Linked DNA regions of Styela clava. The protein of the gene in region 3 interacts with the protein of the main gene of each other region in a pairwise test. Links are inferred from orthologs where the notes say so. Each region holds a gene or a part of one and is shown on either strand. Other genes may lie near its edges. The genes, in order: deoxyhypusine synthase-like, splicing factor ESS-2 homolog and mitogen-activated protein kinase 1-like.

What was found.
Region 1: the proteins of mitogen-activated protein kinase 1-like (region 3) and deoxyhypusine synthase-like interact in a two-hybrid assay, tested with the Caenorhabditis elegans proteins (2 studies listed by BioGRID). The link is inferred for Styela clava from reciprocal best matches to the Caenorhabditis elegans genes mpk-1 and dhps-1.
Region 2: the proteins of mitogen-activated protein kinase 1-like (region 3) and splicing factor ESS-2 homolog interact in a two-hybrid assay, tested with the Caenorhabditis elegans proteins (3 studies listed by BioGRID). The link is inferred for Styela clava from reciprocal best matches to the Caenorhabditis elegans genes mpk-1 and ess-2.

Annotation. Positions count from the first base shown.
Region 1 is NC_135254.1:16,768,725-16,776,685, forward strand, and holds the start of deoxyhypusine synthase-like, read right to left. Parts: upstream 3,046-7,961; 5' UTR 3,031-3,045; coding exon 2,842-3,030; intron 2,070-2,841; exon of another isoform or gene 1,754-2,069; coding exon of another isoform or gene 1,565-1,753; intron 1,069-1,564; coding exon 945-1,068; intron 364-944; coding exon 201-363; intron 1-200. Other genes in the region: WD repeat-containing protein 46-like, read right to left, coding at 5,951-6,208, 7,401-7,591. UniProt on the Caenorhabditis elegans protein: Catalyzes the NAD-dependent oxidative cleavage of spermidine and the subsequent transfer of the butylamine moiety of spermidine to the epsilon-amino group of a critical lysine residue of the eIF-5A precursor protein to form the intermediate deoxyhypusine residue.
Region 2 is NC_135253.1:8,327,314-8,335,229, forward strand, and holds the start of splicing factor ESS-2 homolog, read right to left. Parts: upstream 3,058-7,916; 5' UTR 2,874-3,057; coding exon 2,793-2,873; intron 2,442-2,792; coding exon 2,270-2,441; intron 1,878-2,269; coding exon 1,787-1,877; intron 787-1,786; coding exon 655-786; intron 290-654; coding exon 148-289; intron 1-147. Other genes in the region: sedoheptulokinase-like, read left to right, coding at 3,241-3,321, 3,602-3,764, 4,416-4,592, 5,060-5,252, 5,673-5,848, 6,363-6,632, 7,854-7,916. UniProt on the Caenorhabditis elegans protein: Regulates pre-mRNA splicing.
Region 3 is NC_135252.1:7,506,207-7,514,288, forward strand, and holds the start of mitogen-activated protein kinase 1-like, read right to left. Parts: upstream 3,094-8,082; 5' UTR 3,027-3,093; coding exon 2,920-3,026; intron 1,556-2,919; coding exon 1,373-1,555; intron 798-1,372; coding exon 608-797; intron 1-607. UniProt on the Caenorhabditis elegans protein: Functions in let-60 Ras signaling pathway; acts downstream of lin-45 raf kinase, but before the lin-1 gene product in controlling vulval cell differentiation. Plays a negative role in proximal germline proliferation in the mitotic zone.

The DNA.
Region 1 (7,961 bases), on a different chromosome or scaffold from region 3:
ATAATGCAATGGTAATAAACAAATGCATCTTCAAGCATAAAAACAATCTTGTATATATCTTTGCGAGAAATAGCTATAATTTCCTTATTCCTTAGTACAGTGGCAAGAGTACATTCACCCTGCTTCGACATCATCATTATTCCAATATCAATAATATTGTATATTCAATGCATAGATCAGGATACATTCATGTTTTCAACCTGTTAATTCCCTTTTTCCGTAATTCTTTTCCAGACAATTTGAAATCTCCAAGGTAAGTAGGAGCCAGGCACTTGATGAAATCTTCTTCCACTCCTCCAGCCGTCACACAGATACAATCAACAAGATTATGTTGTACTAGGAATCTGATAGTATCACGGATACCTGGCAAAAAACATAGTAAATTATCATCATTTTCTGCCAAATTAGAAGACAGAATTGTAGAGAAGTACACTGTTCTTATATGGGCATCCCTATTCCCTATATTACATACTTGAATCAATCAATTACATGATAATGTGTTATAGAATTGAGCTCTAAATCGATCATATGTAAATCAAACTATGCTGTGCCACATTTTTCTTGAAGAAATGTAATGTTGAATATTATAAAGAATAATTACATAAACATGAATTTTTATTCATCATGTTCCTAAACTACAATTATGTACCACAGCAAATTTAAAGCAATAGACTTAACTCTATTGGTTTCGCAGGCAACAACTCAGGTTCAAATACCCACTTTCTCACTCCGAGTCCTATGAATTGAGTAGGCAAAGCTAAACCGGGAAGCTTACGGTTTTTCGAAAAACAGTAGCTCCCAACAATATATATTGTTAAAATTCATTGGATACTTGTACATGACCTTGTTCAGAGCGGAAGGTGAAAATGAGAGTTGAAAAAAAGAAAGAAAAAACATAAAATAAAATATCTTCGACCATGTTCATACAAAGTTCATAAACCTACCAGATGACATCATATTTGAAGTATACCCTAAGAAGATTGTGCAGTTTGATCTCTTTCTAACAATTGGATTTAAATTGACTTTCTGTAAGTCATCTTCAGACAATGGTTCATGTCTCTTTTCAATCTGAGAAATAATTTCATGATATTACACATTCACTTGAATGAATGATAATAATTCATTTATTGACACAATCACATATAGAAAAAAATGTTTTGAGTAATCGATAGAAGAGGTTTCCTAAAAATGCAAGCAATCTATTATCTTTCATATAAAATAGTTTTTGTCTATAATTTTGGGGTCTGGTATGATATAGTACTATGAGTAATTCTAGTGGCATATGTCATTCCTAACCTTTTGCATAAGTATAAGTATATTTTGTTTTTCTCGCAAAAAAATTATACACAAACAATGAACATCTAACAGTATGTCATCCACAGTTCTCGATTTCAGATGATCGACTCCTTTCTATTTTGGCGGGCCACATTACGTCACTGTGACATAATTATGGATGGGGTTATACCAAACTCGAGTGGTGATGCAAGCGCAACAGGTGGCAGGGTGGGTTATCATTAGAAATCTAAAAAAATGGGAAAAGAATGTTTTCTTTCCAACGTCTTACCATTTTATTAATTTGTTCCACAGCTTGACCAAAATGTTGAGCCTGAAATCCACAAGTCCTATAGGACTCCAGTAACTTATGATAATCAATCCCATCATTAAAATCATAACCAGAAACTATCCGGGAATCGTTTGACATGGCTTCGCTCTTTACAAAAACAGCGTCTACAGACTCCGAGGGAGCCGCCATACCGAACTGAGATGCAGGTAGACGATACTGACGATTGTTGTTACCGTAGGTACTGTAATACACCGCAGCGGTGCCTTCACGTACCGGTACCGTCAGACTGTACCGGTATGATTTCACAAAAGCCCTCTGCCTTCAGTCCTTGCTGTACAGTACAACACGTTAAAACTAGTAATGTCTCTCAAAACTTTATATTCTTCTCGTCAGGGCATGCTATGGATGGGGAAAATGGGACAAATCGATCTAAAAGAACCTCTTCGTGTTGTGCTCTTTTCCAGGTTACTCACGTGTTCATTCATATCCACAACCTTTGACCCAGGGTAATATAAGGTGCTTCCCCCAAAATGGCTGAAATGGCTGTAGCAAACTAGCAAAATGACAATGAATGAACATTTACACGAGCATTTCTTTGCTCATTTTCGCGATGAAGTCGAATCAGCAGGAAGGTAAAAGTGACGTAACAATTAGAATATATAGGCATATTTTTAGTCACTTTTTTCACTCAGACAAATTTTTAGGCTTGATTCATGATTGTGAACGTTAATTTATTTTCGTATTTTTCAGTACTATTTTTTAGTTTTTAGTTATTTTTACGAAATATATAGTTGTCAATCAAATAATTCAGCCCCTATATATGAACGGAAATGTCTTACTTTGGTTGATTTTATCGAAAACACTATCGAAGAATGGGGTTTATCGAGCTTAGCTGTAGGTACTTTTATTATGACGAGTGCCTGAACTTCTGGGGCTAAATGATGATTTTAAATATGTAAACCAATCTAAATGCACCAATTCGCAACAATACTCTTAAAATCAGCACTTTCAGACTTTTGCAATGGTAAAGTACCCGTATAACAATGATTTAAGGATATGTATTGTAGTACACCGATATCGTAATTACCGTGAAAAGTATCCTATTAAAACAAAAGACAAAGAATACGACATAATTCTATTTTTATGTCCTTCTCTCTCATACTTATTGAAAATCATGACAAAGGAATTGAGAACCGAGGTTAAATCGTATAATATTAAACCACGAAGGGTATATAGATGATCATAAATTGAGTAGCCTACTTCTTCGGTAAGCTTACCATTTTACTTATTTCTTCAACAGCGCGTCCAAAATTTTGAGCTTGAAATCCAGAAGTTCTATAAGATCCAAGCAAAGTAGGATAATCAATTCCATCATTAAAATCGTAACCCGAAACTTTTTTCGAAGCTTTTGGCATTCGTTCACTTTTCACAAAAACAGCTCCAACTGACTCCGAAGGTGCCGACATTTTGAATGATCTACTTCAGTGTATTGAATTACTAGATATCTGTGAAATATTTGCATCGTTGATAAAAAAAAAATAAACTGTGAACTTATCCTCATTACCAAGTTAACACCTGTATTGCAAGACTACCTGAATTTTGATAACTTATTGGCTTGCTAGTGGAGGGACTCGAAGGTGCACCGTTTTTGGAATGTCATGACAATTAACAAATCTTGTTTTTAGAACCCTTGCAAGTTTGACAAAGTTTTCTGAAATGACAACCCTGCTATTAGTGAGTTTAATCGTAAATATATACTACTAGGTTTAATACAAAAGTGGAATTGTTTAAAATTTTGAATCTCTTCTGAGGTGAGGTAAACGTCAATTTTGCTTGTCTTATTGTTTAAGAAGGTAAAATGATGAAGAGATTGTGGACCTGATAACGATGCAATCTGTCCTTCAAAACTTCTGTCATTTAGAATCTTTTTAATTTCTCGAGTGAGAAGTAAAATAGCTCTCATAATTTACTTTGTTTTCCGTTTATGCTTCCTGCCACTTGGATCATTTTGTCCTATAAGCGTTTCTATGATAAAATTTATTCTGATCAGAACACAATCTGATTGCTTTCCATCCAGCACAAAATTACAGCTCGATTTTGGGGAAATACACTTGTCGGTAAGCCAAGTAAGTATTCTAATGTATACTTTTAAAAATTCATAAATATAGACCATGAAAATTTCCATTGACAAATCTTCGTTGCCCCAGTCTCTAATAAAATAATTCGAGAAGGTCAGACTAATTTAGACCTCAATATTGGTCCTGTTGAATAATTTCTTTTTTCTTTCTCGAGTATCATCTTAAATCTCCCTATATGCGTGAAAGCGTAATTAATAATGCCTTAATATTTTAACAAAGTCAAGAAAATACTAATTTATATATATATACAAATTTATCTTCTTAGCAAAAACGAATCGAATAGTTATTATATTACTTACTATTTCGGATCTTCATTATCGTAGACTCGTTTTTTAATACAAAGATAAATTTATTATCAGTTATGTTTTATTTATGAACCATGCACTCCCACCTCTCGCTTCTATGCCTAAACTGTTATTATGATGTCGGATTTCTGATGCCAGAAGTTTTATAACAACTTGACTTGTTAAAGTGATCTCAAATTCAAAATGTTATTGCAGGATTAACATTTGAAAAAAAACAAAAAAACACACACATCATTTTCTGGAAGAGCAGTTCCCAATCGCCAGAATGCCGAAATTTTGTTATTTCTTAACATCGTGTACATACGACCGTCTGGTTACCGAAGGTTGCGCGGCTTACTCAAAAATCATCGCAAAAAAGCGTCTCTTGATTTTTGTCTTTAGTTGTTTGTTCGTAAGGTAGCCAACCGCCATTTATTTCTAAGAAAAGATTTTCATTGGAGTCTTAAAGTCTTTTATTTCTAACATCACCTTCACTGTACAATATTGATCGCTTGCCTCGACCGCCTTACAAGCGAATCCCATTCCTTTGTATTCTACCGTTAAGAACTCAAGTATATATTATACACCTAGTAACGAATTGGACAATTGCTAATTACAAAATTTACGCTGTTGTGAGTGGAGGTTCACCTCCGTGGCAAATTTAAATTAATCGCCAAATGGTCACATAATGCAAAGTTGCATACAGATATATAAGAACACGTAGGCTATAACTCCGATACACGTACCTGAAATATTGACAAGACACTGGACTTCAAAACTGAACACCAATAACGAACTAAAGCACCAGTTTGTTGTGCAAGGTCGGAAGATCGTTGGCATTCGGCGGTTGAAAAGGATACGGTATTGACAGCAACCGTTCATGATAGAGGCATCACTGCATATCCGCATTTACATTACATCACGGTTCGTAAGTCCAACGATGTATAACCCACTGGACTAGAATCTTATTTTCTGAACAAATAGCCCCATAAATAACGTTGTAAAATTGCAATGGTATTTTCAAATGAAAAGAAAAAAACGCCCGAATTACTGGTATATATGGCTGGTCTTAGCAATTTAGATGCTCTCGGTACGACTGACAATGCCTAATTCACATCACAGAACTACGTGAATCTCTGTTCAATTTTAACACTTATATAAAAGCACAACTTTTATTTCGGCGGTAAAATTGAATGCGCTTGACAACATTTGAGAAAACTCTCTCGGTTGATTGAATTAGACAAATATCGGTGTCTCGAAAATGTCTCGTCTCACTTTGCCCTGGGACAAGTTGGTTACGACATATTTGAGACACCCGGCAAATATCAGCCTAATAACCCAAACGACACATACAAACGCTCCACTTATGACAAATACCTATCGTAAGTTCAACAATATAACTACGAGAATTTGTAGAAATGTGAAGCCACGGTGACAGAAAAAGCATTATATGAAAGCATTAAATGACTTTCACGAACCGTTTACAGCTGAAGTGGCATTGAGGAATAGAGCGAAGTACATTCTCTCACCTACACCAGTTAGGGACTTATAAATTGGTACATGCCTTTCATTGAATTTTACAGATTTTTCAGCCCACGAGATGGCATACAGAAGGGTTTCTAAACTTCGTAGTGTTAAGTTTATATTTTTAGTCACCTTAGATGTTTGAAAAAATAATATACAAATAAATGGGGATTCATAGGACAGGTCGTATGCGACATTGTAGTCCGAAAAGTTGGTGGTCCCTTTTTATGGCACTACCAGCGAATATTAAGAGGTTAGGTTTGTAAATTTCAAATTCTTGGAAACTTAGATTTGTTTCATTGCCTCACTGGTTGGAATGGCATATATATTACACATGATTCGCCAATTTGTGGCTCATATTTAAGGACAATTTGACTAAAGTGAAATTGAATCTTCCTTGTATGCTTTGACTCATCATCTGATTGTGCATGACTAGGACATCACCTCTTCTTGACAAATCGTGATAATGCTGATCTGTTAACATTTTTGCCGCCAGAAACCTCAAAAGTATAAGGATTGCTGTTTTCATCATCTTTCGGTTGTTCTGTAATTTTCCTTTTCAAATCCATGTCCTTTTTGATTTTATCTCGAAGTTCAGAATCTTTAACAACTTGTTTTCTTTTTTCAATATTTCCAGCAGAACTTCGACCCTTTTTCTTGAATTTAGGCTCAAACTTTTTCTCTTCCTTCACGAAGCCCTGAATACATCAAAAGCAAAGATAACAAATGGTGGGATTCAGGGGTCTCGCACAGGTTACTGTTGAACCGTTCTTGGATTGTCATGATAATAAGCAACAATCATGAAACGCCAGAACTCAAATCCAATTTCAGACAAGTATTTCAATTTTGCCCGATCATACAATTGGAATTTATTTCTAATACAACTTCTTTTCGAATGTTTGGTAGAATATATATTAATGTTAGCCAATTTGTTTTAGCATTTTTTCCAAAGAAAATGGATTTTGTATTCAACATTTTTTCATGACCTAACAACCTTCTTCAAGACAGTACCACCATGCACCAACCATTATTAGAATAAGAAGTTTACATAGATTTGTCAAAAAACAAGGGAATTTGAGTCAGACTGATTAACCTTGTCAAACAGTGTTTTAGACTGTGATTGACATTTCTGATGAAGGTCTGAGACTGGTCATTGTGTATTACATAGGTTACCATATGCTTCCAGCCTTGAAAGATATGGGTACACTTGCAGCTCATGCCAGGTGTTCCTCAGACTTTGCCAAGGTGTGTGCTTCAATGCCTTTCAACTTTTATAAAAGTTTTTCCTTTTTTATTATTGATTGGATTATTGAGTGAAACTTGATTTAACTGGACTAGTTTCATATTTTTACTGCAAAAGGGCAATATAAAATATTTGGAGCTCCAGAAGTATGTGCACCAAGATGGCGCAGATTCTGAACATAGTATGTGTACCAGATTAGGGTTCAGGCTGTGTGCCATCTTGGTGCACATACTTTGGGAGCACCAAATATTAGAATTCAAGAATATTTCATTATTCAGACCAGCGGTTTTCAAACAGTGGGCCGCGCCCCACAAGGGGGAAGTAGACAATTTTTTGAGCGGACGTGAAGCAAATTGAAAATAAAAATATTTGTTAAATTCGATTTTGCCAGCCTTATTTTGTGCACATATTTTTAACGTGTTTTCTGAAAAAACATACTACTTTCGCCATACTGTTTGTTATTTGTAGCATATTGTTAGCTAGTTATTTTTGAGATTGGACGTGAGAGATTGGGCGTGGGACGGCTTAACCACTGATGTGGACATTGGTACCCCTCATCAGAAAATCAGCGCTTTTTATTTTCTTAACGGCCCCATGAATTTAAAACCACTTGTGCCGAGCAGTCACATCACATTAGTCCAACCTACCATTCGTTCCTCTTTATCTTTCCTTAATTGCTGTGCAGTAACTCTATCAACTGCACTAATTTGATGAGGATCAAGTGTGATCATATCTGGTTGTATTTTTTCCATCAATGCCTTGATTTCCCATTCTCTTCGTTGGGACTTACTTCTATATGGATTTGATTCCATACTGTCATAGTTAGGTTCCCCAGCACCTGTTATTAGTGTTCAAAACAAAATGAAGAAATGGATGGTCGGTAAGATGTTGGCCATTTAAAAATTGCTATTATCAGGAGGTGGAGGATGATCAGAAATTCTCGATTAATTGATATCGAACACAGGGTGGTGCTGTGGCCTAGTAAGGTTGCAGGCTTGAGTGGGTCCGCATGAGTCTTGCACGTACATATGTAGCAAATGTTAAGCAATAAATCATGTTTCTATAGTTGCCCTAATAAACAAATCTAATTTTCAGTATTTTGCATCTGCCAAGATTCATTTTGCTAAAAAGGTTAGGAATCATTGGCCCATTGGTTAGAGCACTGTGCTTAACTATGTTATCATCAGGGGTTGAAGATATACAAATGT
Region 2 (7,916 bases), on a different chromosome or scaffold from region 3:
TCCATGGTTACATAACAAAGATTAAGCAAAGAATATGATGGGAAAAAAATTCCAAAATCAAAATTTAAAATATGTTTCTATCAGTTATAAAAATTGAATATACCGTAGTATTATACAAAAGCTTATTTATAGAACAATGCAACTCACATTTTCAGACCCATCTGTTATTGCCAGCATCTTATTGTTCGTATCACCACCTTGTAACATGAGCATTTTCTTTGTATTTTCGGCATGTTTCAATTCTGCTTCATACAGCCATGAATATTTATTTCTTTGATCTTGTTCGGCCCTGATAAAAATATAAACCATTGCCATGGTGATTTTTGAATAATGCTACTCAGAGTTGTGAAAAATCATTAACAGTTTCTCAGCATCATCAACAGATAAACTTCTAAAATATAACCCAGCTCTGAATAGAGCTTAGAGTTATGCCATATGATTCATAATAAATTCTTCTTCTTCATTGATATAGTTGAGAATTTGAATGAAATTAGATGTGACACAGACACAATCTATATTAAACATTTACTATTATTGTAGACAAAACTCCAAGACATCTAAATGCCCAACTCTGGGCATAATTATACAGAGAAGGGAATTAGCCCTTACGATTATTACTTAGACCTTATATTATCAAAGCAAAGTAATACTAACTTTTCCATAATATTTTCGAAAGATTCATTATCTTCACTTGTATATTTGCCGAGAAATGAATTCAAACCATCTCTAACATCCGATTGTTTAACTTGATCCTCTTCATTCAGTAATACGTCTTTCTTATCATAACTATAATTACAAAGAGTTGAAATCATTATTTATTGTAATAACAACATTTTGGTGATTATCATATACTGTAATTTTGACAATCCAAGAGACTGGCATTACAATCCTGTACAGACACCAAGTGACCATAAAAATTATGGTAAGCCGGCCTAGTGGTTGGAACAGCGGTTCCCAACTTGGGGCCTATGGCCCCCTACACAGAGCAGTTGGAGGGGGGCCCCAATGCTAGTCGTAACCAAATTCACTTTTCACTTTATAAGAAAACTCCCTGTTCTATCTAGTATTACTGCTTGATATTGATTATTTCACAAGGTGTTTTAAATTTGTTGAGCATGAATTGTTTGAACATAACGGGATTTGAAATCTACCAATCAAATTAAACCTATAAATATCACTGGAATGATAAACAGGGGACCCATGAACATGACTGCTAAAAGCCTCCGAAAGGGGCCGCGAACCATAAAAGGTTGTGGTCAGAGAGACGAAACTATGCGGGCATTGCAGATGAAATACTCAGGTTCAAATCCCATGCCCACCACTACCTCACCCAGGATATATATAATAAATTGGGTAGGAAATGCTGAACTGGGAAGATTTCTCTCCTCCCAATCATAGTAGTTCCTTATCTAGCAGTGGTTGTTTTGTACAGAGCCTTGTTCAGGGTGTAAGGCATGAAAAATGCCACATAAAAATACAATGAGGTGAAAACTACCATAACGACATTTTTAAACTATTGTAAACATTTATCATAAATGCAAGAAAAAATGTAGAAATGTGATTGCTGAAGAACTTTAAATAAACACAGGAGAAAACCTTTTGAATGATATCCGTACTCGACTGTATGTATGATTGTTTATACATCCCATAAATAAATACATAGCAATGAAGATATTAAATTTGGAACAAGAGTCATATACAAGACCATGTCGGCCTACTGTACATATGTGTGGCGTGCCCGCCACTTATGATTGACAGCATATAGAGTAAATTAATAAAAACCTACCCAAGATTTTTTGAATTCAAATTAGAGCTTGGAGTCATTTTTTCATCAATTACAGGAGTGTCAAATGTGGCAGGTGGCAGTTTCGTTGAATCTGTAAAAGAGAGTATAACAAAAATGCATTCAAGTACATTGTTACAAGTACATTTACTTTTTTCATCTATTTCATGTTTATAAACGAAAATACATATTTTAGAATTGTAAATATGATCATGTGATCACATTAAAGTTCGTCGTATCATAAGATTTGAATCTGTCAATATATTTTCATACACCTTATTGGTTATGGACTCTTATATTGATATCGAGAAGGAAGAACATGTATATCTTATGGTGTGACCGACATCGTAGCAGTTCAGCTCGGTCTACCTAAATTATTACATCATGGATGGCGCTTGCAACTGAGATACGTGTACTAACAGCTAAGCCATAGCTCCGCCCGATCTTCGAAAGCGTAAAAATATTTATCTGAGATTCATAATTTACCAGTATTTGGAGTAAATGTTGGATTGTTTTGATTTTTCTTTCTTGAAAACTTGAGGGCAATTTGTCTCATTTTCTCAAAATCTTTTTTCTCTTCGGCCTCTAGATATTCCTTTTGATCTTTTAATTTCTCATGATCGGGAAAAAAGTCACGGGTGATGATTCTTTCAAGATTCTAAAAATATTGTTTTATTAATTACAGACCAATATTCAGATATGTAAAATGTGCAAATATTTCATCTTTTTAAAAGTTTTTTAAGAATAACTAGACTATATTAAAGTGATAATAAAATGTTTTTTACCTCTACCAACAGACCAATGGCTCGAATTTGGTGGCAATTTCACGTTTTTGTCAATTTCAGTACCTACTTACTCAACATATTGATAGAAACAAAAAATGGCAGCATGACTGCAAGCAGAAGTTATTCTAAACAGTCAAGTTCTATGACTGTATGAGGCATTAATTCAAATTAACTGACTAAAAATCAAGCTTGTAGCCTGGGTAAATATGTTATCGTAGGCCTACCTCTGTATATGTTTCCTCATCCAAAACTTGGGGTTGTTGACGTCTTTTCCCTGTCAGTTTATTATATGTTTCCAATGCCATTCTGCTGTTCTGTGGTATACCGTACAGCTTTACAGCAGCAGCACTAGCAACTCAGACAGTGATTTAGGAATGGCACACTTAACTTTAAAAATTCCACTTCTACAATCGTAGAACAGTAGAACGCCCACTCTAACTGCAGAACTGTTATCAACTGTAATTATGATCAAACAATGTACGACAATACGGCAAACTGTATGTACATACCGTACGTTCGCAATACGTCTTGTTTTCAGATTTTACGAAAGAAACATCAGCTGGTAATATCGAGCTTACTCATCCATCACGGAACTTTTATTATGACGTAATTTGTAAATAAACACACGTGCGTTTTGTGTTGGGGAGTTTGTTTTTTGCAAAGTTTGAGGGAATGACTGATGTACTTGGGATTGATATTGGCACCACATCTGTGAAGGTTGTCGTGGTTTCAGAAGATAATGGAGAACCAAAGGTTTGATCCGATAACGCTATATTTTGTGAAATAGCATGCGCTTATTCTATCGTCTGACTGAATCATATGATACTTGCACTGGTTTATTGCTTAGTCACAGTTGATTGTAAAATACAATGTAACCATTTAATGAAATCTAGGTAACCATTGAGAATTATCTCGCGAAAGTGCCACATTTATTGAAATTCATTGAATAAAATAATTCTTTACAGTTTAAAAATAGAATAAACCATGTAGCTGAAAATTCTTCCAATCAAAACAAATGGAAATCTTTTTGCAGATTTTTGGTTCAAAGAATCTGTGTCATAATGCAAATCTAACAAGTTCTGACAATGTATCACACTTTGAACAAAATCCAACCAAGATATTGACAGCATTAAAGGAATGTTTGAGATTGTTGAAAGAAGAAATAGGGACAAGAATAACTACAATAAATACAATTTGTTAGTTACTGTCAACAGTTGTTTGTTTTGTTTCTGATAATTCTTACTAAATACAGAAATAGAAACAATGGCAGTCAAGTCCAAGAAAGTTTTATTCTTTTCAATATCATGTATTTATATGTTTTATCAGGTCAATAAAGTTGCTTTTAAAAGTGAAATCTAGATTAGTAGTTACATATTACATGATAAAGAGTATAACTTATGGATAAGAGAAAGTTGAACTAAATATTATATCTTGCACTCATGTAACATGCTATAGATGAATGAAATTCACTCAGAGGTTGTTTATATATATATATATAACAAAAACAACTTCACAGTATATGTTATGAACTTTATATTGGAGCATGAGGTATGTTTGCGAGGGAGTCTGAAATTGAGTTGGATTATCTGTGGCTCATTTCTGATGGGTGGATTAGAGCTACAATATTTGAGCAACTATCAAAATTGAGCCACAGATGATCCTTGTTGATTGTAGCATACATCGCTGGCATGTGTTAAACCCTGATATAAAGCTCATATCATATGCTTCAAATTTTTCTTTCTCATATACACATGTTGGTATTTGCTTGGTGGAGCTTTATTTGGGGCAAAGTTATGACACCCTATTAAAATATATTAATGCTTTATCAAATTTGTTTTATATTGTAGCAATATGTGGCCAAATGCATGGCTGTGTGCTGTGGAACAGTGACGATCAGACCAGTGTTGAAAATGATGGAATATATTATCCTTGCTCTAATTTAATAACATGGCAAGATCAGAGGTGTGACTCGGAATTCATTTTATCACTACCTGTTCCAGAAAAATGTGTCCCTGTTTCTACAGGTAAATGTATGGCAAAAAAAGTTATTGATGTATGTGTGATTTATCTAAAAGATTGAATTTCTGATAATTCAGAAATGAACTTTCAACTACCGGTAATTAAAATTACAGAAAGTTTGGCCGACCTTTTTCAAATCATTTTTGAATTGCTGGTGAGATTTTTACACTCTGATTATCATACAATATCTGCAATTAAATCTTTTATTTGAATAGTAGGAAGTTGCAGGAAAACTATGTTTTTTTCCATTCAATTTTTAATCTAGGTCATTTACAGGACAACTAACTAGATTTCACAGATACATGGCTGGTACAGAACCATACTTAGGTGTCAATCACTCCAGAGTATATTCAAGTTTCAGCAATTCTTTGAATATGAACACCTAACAGTGAATACTCCATATGGTACTTGAATCATTGATTGGGATTGTTGTTTCAATCCATTTTATAATTTATATTTTCTTTCATTTGAGGATTTGGATGTGCAACAATGTTTTGGCTGCGAAAAAATTCTCCTGAGATTTTATCAAAATACAATTGTGCTGGAACAATAATGGATTATGTTATTGCAAGTTTGTGCAAACTCAGAAAACCAATAATGTCGACTCAAAATGCAATGAGTTGGGGTTATTACAACTTCATTGATAGGAAGTGGAATTTGAAAATGTGAATATTTTATCTCTTTCATTTGATTTCTTTTTATTTTGTTGAACAAGACTGATGTTACATCATTGTAACCAGAGTATGGAAACCTTTGTTTTATGATGATCGTAGAACTAACATGAATCTTAACCCAAAAGAGAAAATTAACAAAACACTGCTGCATCATTACCAATACTGCTTTAGTAGTAAGGTAGTAAGAATGGCAATGTTTAGTTATTTTTTCATATTTACCGTGTGTTTTTTAATCTGAGTGTTTGTTCCAATTATGACTATTACATACTCATTTTGGAGGAGCTTTTATAAATAATCAGCCAGTTTTGCTGAAAGAAATTACCATGATTTTTATTTATTCCTATAGGATATCTTTTTTTATTGTAATGCATTTTTGGCTATTACCTATTTTTATATTACCCGATTTTCCAGATTGAAGAAAAATGACTTTCCTGTAAATTTCTTACCAGACATTGTAAATCCAGGCAACATTGTTGGAAAGTCACAAATAGATTGGTGTGATATACCGGCTGGTATAGATATTACTGTTGGGCTTGGTGACATGCAGTGTTCTGTGCTTTCCTGTGATCCAGATTCCTCGACTGGTGGTAAATATTATTATTTGGGTGTATCTATAAATGTATACACAATTAATAATTGGTTATGTGTTAATGGTTATGTGCTTTTTCGGAAAACATAAATTTCTTATTTATTGAGGCTCGTACTCGAAAATGGTAGTGCTAGTAAACGACTGCCCCACGTACCTATCCTATGAACAGAGCTAATACTCAGAATATTTATGCTAAGAATATATTTTAGGTCAGTTTGTGTTAAGAGTGTAAAAACATCAAAATTCTAGTCAGCATTCAAATTATTTTATACCCTGATTAGTACGATATTTGTTTGTAGCTCTAACTGAACACTTAAACTATTACATTAATGAAGTTTCAAATTGTATTTGGATTTTTTATATTTTTACATTTTCCTAAACATATACAGTACCGTAGCTGTAAATATTTCTAAATTAATATTCATAATGTCACAAGAATTCAATCCATTCTTACCACGAACATCAATAGTGAATCTTCAGATGAAAAAAAATATTTCATTTAATGTGTTCAGTTTTCAACCTTGGCACAGCAGCTCAACTTTCTACAATACTGCCAATCCAATCGGGAATTGAACATTATAGTTTAAAATATTCTGCAACCGTACCTTCATCATCTATTTGTGTACCTTACTTTGGGGATTTTTGCTTGTGGACTTCGGCATCATTAAATGGTGGGGCAGTATTTGAAAAATTTGCAAGTATGATGCATAGGTGGACAGTACAATTTGTACCATCACTTACTATGAGTGATGTATATGAAAAACTTATTGACATTGATAGTGGTGAGTATATATGAATGAACTTTAATTGGACCTCCAAAAGTATGCGCACCAAGATGGCGCACAACCTGAACTCAGGTTGTGTACCAGGTTAGGGTTCAGGTTATGTGCCATCTTGGTGCGCATACTTGAGGAGTATCCTTCAATTTATAATGATTACTTATCAATTTTAATCGGTAAGTATGTTGATAGGTATTTGTCTGTTTGTCTGTCTGTCTGTTAGATGCACGTGATATCTCACGAAAGCGAGATTGAATCTGCTCCAGATTTTGCATGTTCATTCATCATATGTCGGACCAGAAGCCTATTGATTTTGGATGAATTATGTCGTATAATTAGCGAGTTATTAATTAATTAGTGATGTGACACAAGGTGTCACTATGGAGTAAGAGCGCTGTTTTGGGGATCCCCTAACTTTCGATGATAAGTCTTCGGTCTCTGTCGATATTCTGGTTAAAGTATCATAGATTTGACTAAATTACCTAGAGTTTGCAACAACAGCAACAGTAATCTGAAACTTTTTCACGCATTTTACTTCAAACAAAGTCGAGTAGAGACAGGCATGTAAGACACTGACATGTAAGAAACTGATATTTTCGATATGTATCCTGTTTAGCATTTTCTACCCAATATATCACACCCTGGATGAGTAATTGGTAATGGGGTTTGAATCAACGATCTGTGACTTGAGATGCTTTTATCGTTAAGTTCAACGTTCTTACCCATAGGTTTTGTCCAATTTTTGAAAATTACCAGTGATTCTCTAAATTGATTAATTTTTACTGCGATTTTAAACAATCCACTCTGAATCATTAATCCTAATATTTTTACAATATTTGTTCAACTAAGAATAATATTTTACCCAGAGCTGTAGAGTCGGAGCTTGTTTTTGTTAATTTTATTTTTATGCATGTGAAATTTGCTAGCAGCAATTTGTTCTCTGGAAAATTCCACCTGGTAGGATAGGATTTACATACCGTGTTTATTCCGAGAAAGAGGAAAGCCGATAATATGGCTCAATTATATGGCGAACAACGGTCGCTTATTTGGTTACCAGTTCATGTGGGGTATAAGATTAGTTAGCCAGTTATTTGTTTCAGATACATGAACTTGATAGTAGAGGAAGATGAACCGACCAGTGCTTACGTGAACCACTCTACACTGACAATGAAGTAAAAAACAAATTGTATATGTCAGTGTTCATATAGAAAAATTATTTTAAAGATGCAGAGCCTGCAACAAGTATGACAATTAATCCAACTATATATGGTGAAAGACATGATCCAA
Region 3 (8,082 bases):
ATTCATCATAAGCCTAACGGTGTCACTATGGAGTAAGACCACTGTTTTGGGGTATCCCCTAACCTTGGATCGATAAGTCTTCGGTTTCTAACCGATATTCTAGTTAATAAATTACTAGTTTTTGAAAGTATCGGAATCTTTCCGATTTGGCATTACCTACTCAATTTATTACACTCTAGGTGAAGTGGTGGGCATTGAATTTGAACCAGCAATTTTAACATAGTAAAGTCGTTCACTTTACCCACAAGGCCATCACACCCATGGTTATAGTTTAAATAGTTTGAAAAATGGGGCATATTTGACATAATTGATTATTATTTGAAAAAAACCTGAGGTGGATTTATTTAATTATGATATAATAATATAGTAGCATGATTTCATTCATATTTTTGCATTTTTAAAAATGTTGACCATCCACACTCTTATTTAGTACCTTATTAGTTAAGTGTACTACCACCAAGCCTATGTTGACATCCTGTCAAATAGGAAGGTGATCACACATCATGAATTCATATATTTTGCTTCACTATCATCGCTATAAAATACATGACTCACATCATGCTTTCATGAAACTGCAATAAATCAATATATACCACGTAATAATCACCTTCAAATCGCAAGTGGTGTTTAGCAACAAATTGCTCGGCTTCAAATCACGGTGAATCACATGAGCTGAATGAATGTATTTCAATCCTCTCAAGATTTGGTACAAGAAGTAACAAATGTGATCGTTGCTCAAATGCTGAGTTTTTAGCAGTTTGTAAAGATCGGTTTCCATCAAATCTTGCACTATGTGTCTAAATTGAGTTATAGATAATATGATGTATTATAAGGAGGTAAAAATTTAGAAGGGTCATTTCAAATTAAAGATTAAGAGCAACACTAAGAACAAAAATGATGAATTCTAAATGTCGAGTATATAAAAATTTGTGGTAAATAGTGTTTTTATAGCGTAAATTTAAAAACTTCAATTAGAGTTTTACACCAATTTATTGAAATCAACTAACAGATTAAAATATCTGATTTTCATTTTTTTGTGGGACATACAGTATTACAAATTTCGTTATCAACTTTATGATGAAAGAGATGTTGACTAAAAACTTTTTTTATTGAATTATGGATATTCACATTTAGCTTTGAATTTTTTGATGAACAAAATAGAAAAATTTGAAGATTCAAATTCTGGCTTTATATAACAGAAAAAATTTTGAAGTGCACATCACTCAACAGTCAATATCTTACTGAAAATCGGGATCCAGTGGCTACTTATTTTCTCGTGTTGAGGAATATGACCTAGCCCAATGTTAATAAGTACTGGAAAATGTATGTGAAATCGATGAAGTTTGAACTATAACTAAATAAATCTACTTACACATCTTTCATGTTTGCGATATTGGCAGACCGAATGATGTCTTTGATCGTAATAATATTTTCATGGTTGAAACTGAGCAATATCTTGATTTCTCTGTAAGTACGCTGGCAGTAAGTTTGATGCTCGAATGGACTAATTTTCTTGATAGCCACTTTTGTTCCTTTGAATGTGTCCATTGCAGACCTAAACCATAGTTCGAGTTTATAACAAGTGCAAATATTTTGGTCATGTGACAGTTGACGTATGTCACCTGAGCTCAAGAATATAATTTTTTTCGTGGAATAAATTTATTTAATAATTTATTCCCTCTACCAGTTCTTCATGCAATGACTTTTTATCGAATAAAGTTTTCAAATACCATAATTTCCAAGTCCAATTTATCAAGATTTTCAATTTCGTTTGATCTGAATTGTATGAATATGGCTATACTACCCAAAAATAAAACACATTTTTGAATAATCTGTAAGAAAAATATACAATATTCTTTTTGATTGCATTTTCCTCAAAATAAGTTACCATTAAGTAATATGCAACTATTTATAATACAGTTGAACACTCTCTTGAAAATGACAGTACACTTGTAAAAATTACATGTGAAACTTTTATGTTAGATTCAAAACAAGTACTCTGTCCATAAAAACAAAGAAACTTTATTTCAACATGACCAGCAGTTAGGGGTAGATCATGATAATATTGAATATTATCAAGCATGTGACGACAATCTTATCCAGTGTATTCTTAGGCAAACAATTTCTTATTAGTTGAAAATGTCTAGTACATAATGTGTAAATATTTGACTTTCATAACTCTACCCTATGTTTGAAGAAACTGTATTATGACAAAGCTTTAGATCTATATTCATCTTCTTTTTATTACTTCATTATATTACAGAATACAAGTGCATTTGAGAATTGATTGTAGTATCAATGAATTCAGAAAAATAGTTCCCATACAGGATTTAAAATGTTACATATTTATCATATTGACTATGGACAACAACAATATCAGGTACTGAGCTGCTAAACATATGATGAAAATGCTGAGGAAAAAATAATTCTCGGAATACTGATAAATCTTATTCAGGGTTAATCTTGCTCATAATCATGATCGATATTTTATACCCTTCTGAATTAGTAATATTAATAAAACTTTGATATGCACACTATATCCAACTAACGGATATTTTGAGATAACAATTCGAGATGACAAACTTATTATGAATTTCAAGTTTATTTTGAATTGAAGTTGAAATTTCAAGTACATCACCCTATGAATATCCAATACCGGGAAATAATTTAGTTTAAAATTTGCCCTATTGCAAATTTGCAATGTTATTGCGAGTCAATTATAGTATATGTATTGATCAATTAGGAATAATTAATATTAAAAAGTATCGCACACAAGTATCCTACATTTGAAATATGAAAATTATATCTATCAGAAGAACATTATTACAAAATCCAACTTTACATTAACAGTAAATAAAAAACTCTAATGCTGACCTATTTGCCAGTGTAGCAATTCTGTATTGAAAATAAGATACTTACACAACCATTCCATAGGCTCCTTCTCCAATATATGACAAGTTTAAATATCTTGGTCCAACATCAAAAACTTGTCCCCTCACCACCTCAGCACAAGCCTTACGTTCCATGCTTTAAATTTACCTCAAACGATATAAACTATAATAGTGTGAATGTGAACTATAAATCAAGAAAGAAAGAGTTTTTGTTATATTTAATTTTTCTAATCAGAACCAAATTTTAATAAAATAAAAATAATATAACATGAAGTAATCTATGCAGAATAAATTTGACTAATCATTCAAACATAACTAATGAATTCTGAAGAGTTGACATCCTACTAAGAAGTCTGGGGTATATTGTTGACTAGCGTAGAACCCTTGCACCTTGAGCTCAATTCCTGAAAAAACTTAATCTAAGGTATTGGAAAATATTACTAAAGAAGGTGATCAGAAATATTGGCAAGAGTACCATAAACTCAGCCAAACAGGAAGTCGGTTACAATTTACATTCAGTCAAAAAAGTATTAATCATGATTCATGATACAGTTGTTCACTACACATTCACCAACAGCTGATAACCCTAAAAATCATCACTATTCAAAAATGTTCATGATAAAATAGCATAGCAGTATTAATATGAATCAAACAAACTGCTACAGTTTACTTCTATTCCATTACAACTAATACTGAATATCATGCGAATTCTCGATTTTAGAATTGATTCAGATCGATTTGTATTTGAAAAGTCATCATTTAGAACAGTTCAAGTCTCACTGTATCTCAGCTTTTTTTTACTTTCAAACTCAAACCAATTATTGAATATACATCGACAACAGTGAACTTCAACCACTGAAAATTTCAAAGCGATAGGTCTAGTAATTAAAAAGAAAAATATTTCTAACAACAGCTTTATACCAAAATGCCGAATTTAAAATATATTTGGTATTCCACATTTGGGTATATTGTATTAAAATGTTCTTGGAATACAGTAGTAAATTATTGCATTTTGGCCATTTCTGGGTATTACCTATACCTTCCATTCTTAATGCTAAACCTAAGCAATGCCTCATATATTATATATAGATATCTCAAAGGCGATTGCAGAATTAAAAGAAACAATAACTACCATTTGCTATACATAGACACAATAATATTATTATATTATGATGATCAAAGATTTTGCATTATTAATGATGATCATAAAATGAAAAAAAAAGTATTCCATGCCAGATTTTAGAGTGCAGTAACCGCCAAATAGCTCGCTTGACAAAATTCTGCACAAGCAAATTTCCCATTTACATTATATTTTTGTCTATATATTCTTTTGAGTGGCTATTTTTCAGTAATTAAAATTTGCTCACCCTTTAGCTTTAAATTTTGTACAATTTATCATATATAGCAGGGGTGGCCAACCTGCTTTCGACCGCGGTCGACTAAAATCTTCAAAATAGCTCGCGATCGACTGATCAGTAACATGGGTATATATATATAACTAATGGGTACTGAATATACAAATGACTGCACTGCACACACGCATACGAAAAATTCCAACGCCCCAATAAGGTCGGCTCTGTAGGCGCATTTTCAATAAAAATCGTTCCATGTTATTTGTTAATGTAATTGTACCAGGAGTAAATTTTCATCGCTTATTTGAGATTTATTGAGTAATACGATTCAGATCTACAGCATGCCTAATTTTCAGTCTTAAATGTTCCTCAAGAAATCTTGCCAAGTATCCATATTATTTAAACAGCGAAAAATAAATATTCTCAAACCATATATGTTACACAACTGCTTAAACTTCCGTTCTAATTTACAATTGCCCTCTAGTTTACAGTCTTCGCTAACTTGGAATTATAAAAAATTTGGCATTCTAATGCCACTGCTGTCGTTGTGAATACAATTTATCACACTACTCTTGGAGTGAGACAATAACTTTCGCATACTGCAGAAGTTATTGTAAGATCGTTTCTCAGTCAAGACATACGACATTCGGCACGTTCATTTCTAAACCTTGGCAGCGATTAAACTTTCATTTGTTACGAAATAATAAGCGCTATCAGGTTTGCCCAGACTCAAATACTGTATATCATATTTTGCGCATGTACAGTACTATATTCTTCCTTCGTAAAACTGGTTCAAGGCAAAATTTTAGGGTATGTTATTAAATTCACTCAACATCAGACATCAATTAGAACATAAAAGACATCAATTATAACAGTGAATGCAGACTCTTCCTTTACGAAACAGTCTTATAAACTAAGATGAAGCGCAATCTAAAAACGTTACCATGGGTTTACTTTGAAAAAAATAATCCCATTTACCGAAGAGAAAAATTTACCCTAGCATTCATTTTAGCAAAAAACCATCGGCAGGGGAGAATTTCGGTCATGTGATGGCTGACACATGTTAAATCATTATTGAGACAAGCATGGCGCAATCTGCAGAACTGCCTTTGTGCCAGCACTCTCGTTTCAGACACAAATAGAGTGTTTGTTTTATTGAACCAAATGTCGGGACATCTTGGAATCGGAGAACTGTGCCCAACTGACATTCGCATTGGGAGTTGATGATGGAAGAAGCCGTAAACAACCAGCAGCTATTAATACGCGAACCACCCTCCGGTGACAAGGAGTTCAGCCATTCTCTTGCACATAGTTAACCCCCACAGGATTCTGCGAACCCGCGCAGGGTAATCAGGGGCCACATCGCCGAGAATAAATCACAACTGTGGTCTGTTTTAAACAAATATATGTGAATAAATCTCTGTGTCTCCTTTACAATGCAAAGCAACTGGATATCAGTCATCAGTCACTCAAACCTGAAACCCAAGTGCAGTTTCAAGTATTTTGTGGCGTCTAAAGCTGCCGCAAAACCATGGCAAGATTTCCAAACCATGGCCGCTATAGCCAAACCTATGGCAACTGACTTTTTAGCTGCCACAAACCAATGGCGAGCTGCCGTTACCGCGACAGCAAATTGAAAACCAAAGGCGGGTAAAATTTTTCTGCCATAAACAGGGCATGTCGGCTGTAATGGTAGGGCTGCCCCTAATGGTAATAAATATTGGGTAGGTCTGTAGGTTGGAACATTTTTTTTATAAATACAATTTGGATAGATTTGAGGTTAGATTTGAGGTTTAAATAGATATAATTCCGCATGATAAACTAAAATCTGGTACACGACTTTGTGAATATACCGGTATTACTGAATAGCGCCATGGCAAGAGACGCCACGATTCGTTCGTGGCGGGAGCTGCCATGAAGTGGTAAGAACGGCGACTCCTGAAACCAGTAAACCTTATAATTAATAGATTAATGCCATCGAGTAGTTCAGTCTGTCAGTAGTTGGAAAGGCTAAGGCTGTGCGGGACGAAACAGCTTGTGTCGAAAAGTCTGTAAACCAAGCAGAAATGATCATGACAATACAATCATTGTATAAGAAAATAACTAAATAAAGCAATAATTAATAATGCAGTACTGTAATACAGTAATAAGGGAACACAGCAGGATAGGCTGACAGTGATAGATACTTTATTTCTTTATAAACAGGGTGAGAATAGCGGGATCAAGAAAGCAGATTGGCCAGAACTTACCATAGACTACTTGTACAACGTAGGTAACAGTACGGCACAGGACGAAACGTATCTGTACCGGTATATTTTAGACGCCTGGTCATATCAGCATATTGCTGTATTGTGCAGGGGGGTGTCAGTCTGCACTGCTGTACCGGTAGTGGAGCAGCGGCAGAGCGGAGAGAAACTGGTACGATTTCAGCATTTGCAATTTGCGTTCCTCAGCATTAGGAACATTATGTAGGCTACCGGCACATAACTTTTGTAACATTTCGCTGATTCATATTCCAAATGAACACAAAAGAAAGCCTTATAAACCAACAACACGGCGGGCGACTCAGCAGTCAACAGCCAAAATAACCTTCCGATGGATTCCGCGTGGTGGCGCCCTAATAGAATGATCATAGTTGGGTATATAGCAATGAAAAATGGTAAAATCCTGATACACAAAAGAAAGTGGCATTTATTTATATAATAGTCGATCAAGTGACTTTTTGCTATTTAATTACATATTATTGTTTTTCTTTCCTTAAATACATAAGATGTGATATGTTGCTGTTTTCTTATAACATTATTAGACTACAATTGCAAACATTGTGAGAAATTACCTTTTATAACTGTATTGCTGAATTAAAAATTGTTATTTCAATATTATTCTATTTGCTATATGATTGCCCTTATATGGTATATACCTAAAAGGTGAGATTTTTATTTGCTAAATGATTGCCCCTGTATGGTATATACATATAATGTCAGATTTTCTCAGTTTTCTAATAACATAATTAGATTGCGAATGCAAACATTGTGATACTTTTTATGACTGTATTACTGATATTGTTTATTTCAATATAATTCTATTTAGAAAAAAAAAAAAAAAAAAAAGAAAGCGAAAAAAGTTATCCAATATACCGGGGCAAATTAGCTTTACATAATGAAAAGGATATTGGTGTGAAGTTGATTTGATGGCTAAGGTATAGAGAGAGTGATCCCATTTCGGGTGCTTTTTGCATGGTGTGATGAATTCTTCTGTGTCCCAAGCAAAATGTCCTCCCAGATAAGGGGTAACCAACCCGCGGCTCACGAGCCGCATATGGCTCTTGCTCCGGTTTCATGCGGCCCGTTTCGCCTTGGTTATTTTAAGGAAAAAATAACTTGCAAACTACGATCCATCATGTTCCGATTAAACACATTATGATTCATCTCGTATTCTTCTTTTACAGATGGATTCATTTGTATGTATGTCTTCATATTAACATTTGCCTTGGTTAACGAATCAATAATTGGACACGTATAGTGGACATATCGATCGTTTTGTTGATATGTTGTTCTTTGACACTTTTTGGACACCTAGTGGAAATATTAAAAAAATGCTTTTCTCTTTGATCATCGGACCAATTGCTTTGAAATTTTTAGTGGTTAAAGATGAAATTTTTCTCCAGAAGGCTATTACTTTTATTTATTTCAAATATTTCTGTTAGCTCTGTAAGGTTTGTTTTTGTTTGCTATGACGTCACTGAACGTTCTGCGGACGCATATGCAGGCACTCCTCCGTTGGCGTGACAGCGGATTGCAAGTTTTTCGAGGTTACCGGTGAATGGCGGTAATGCTAAC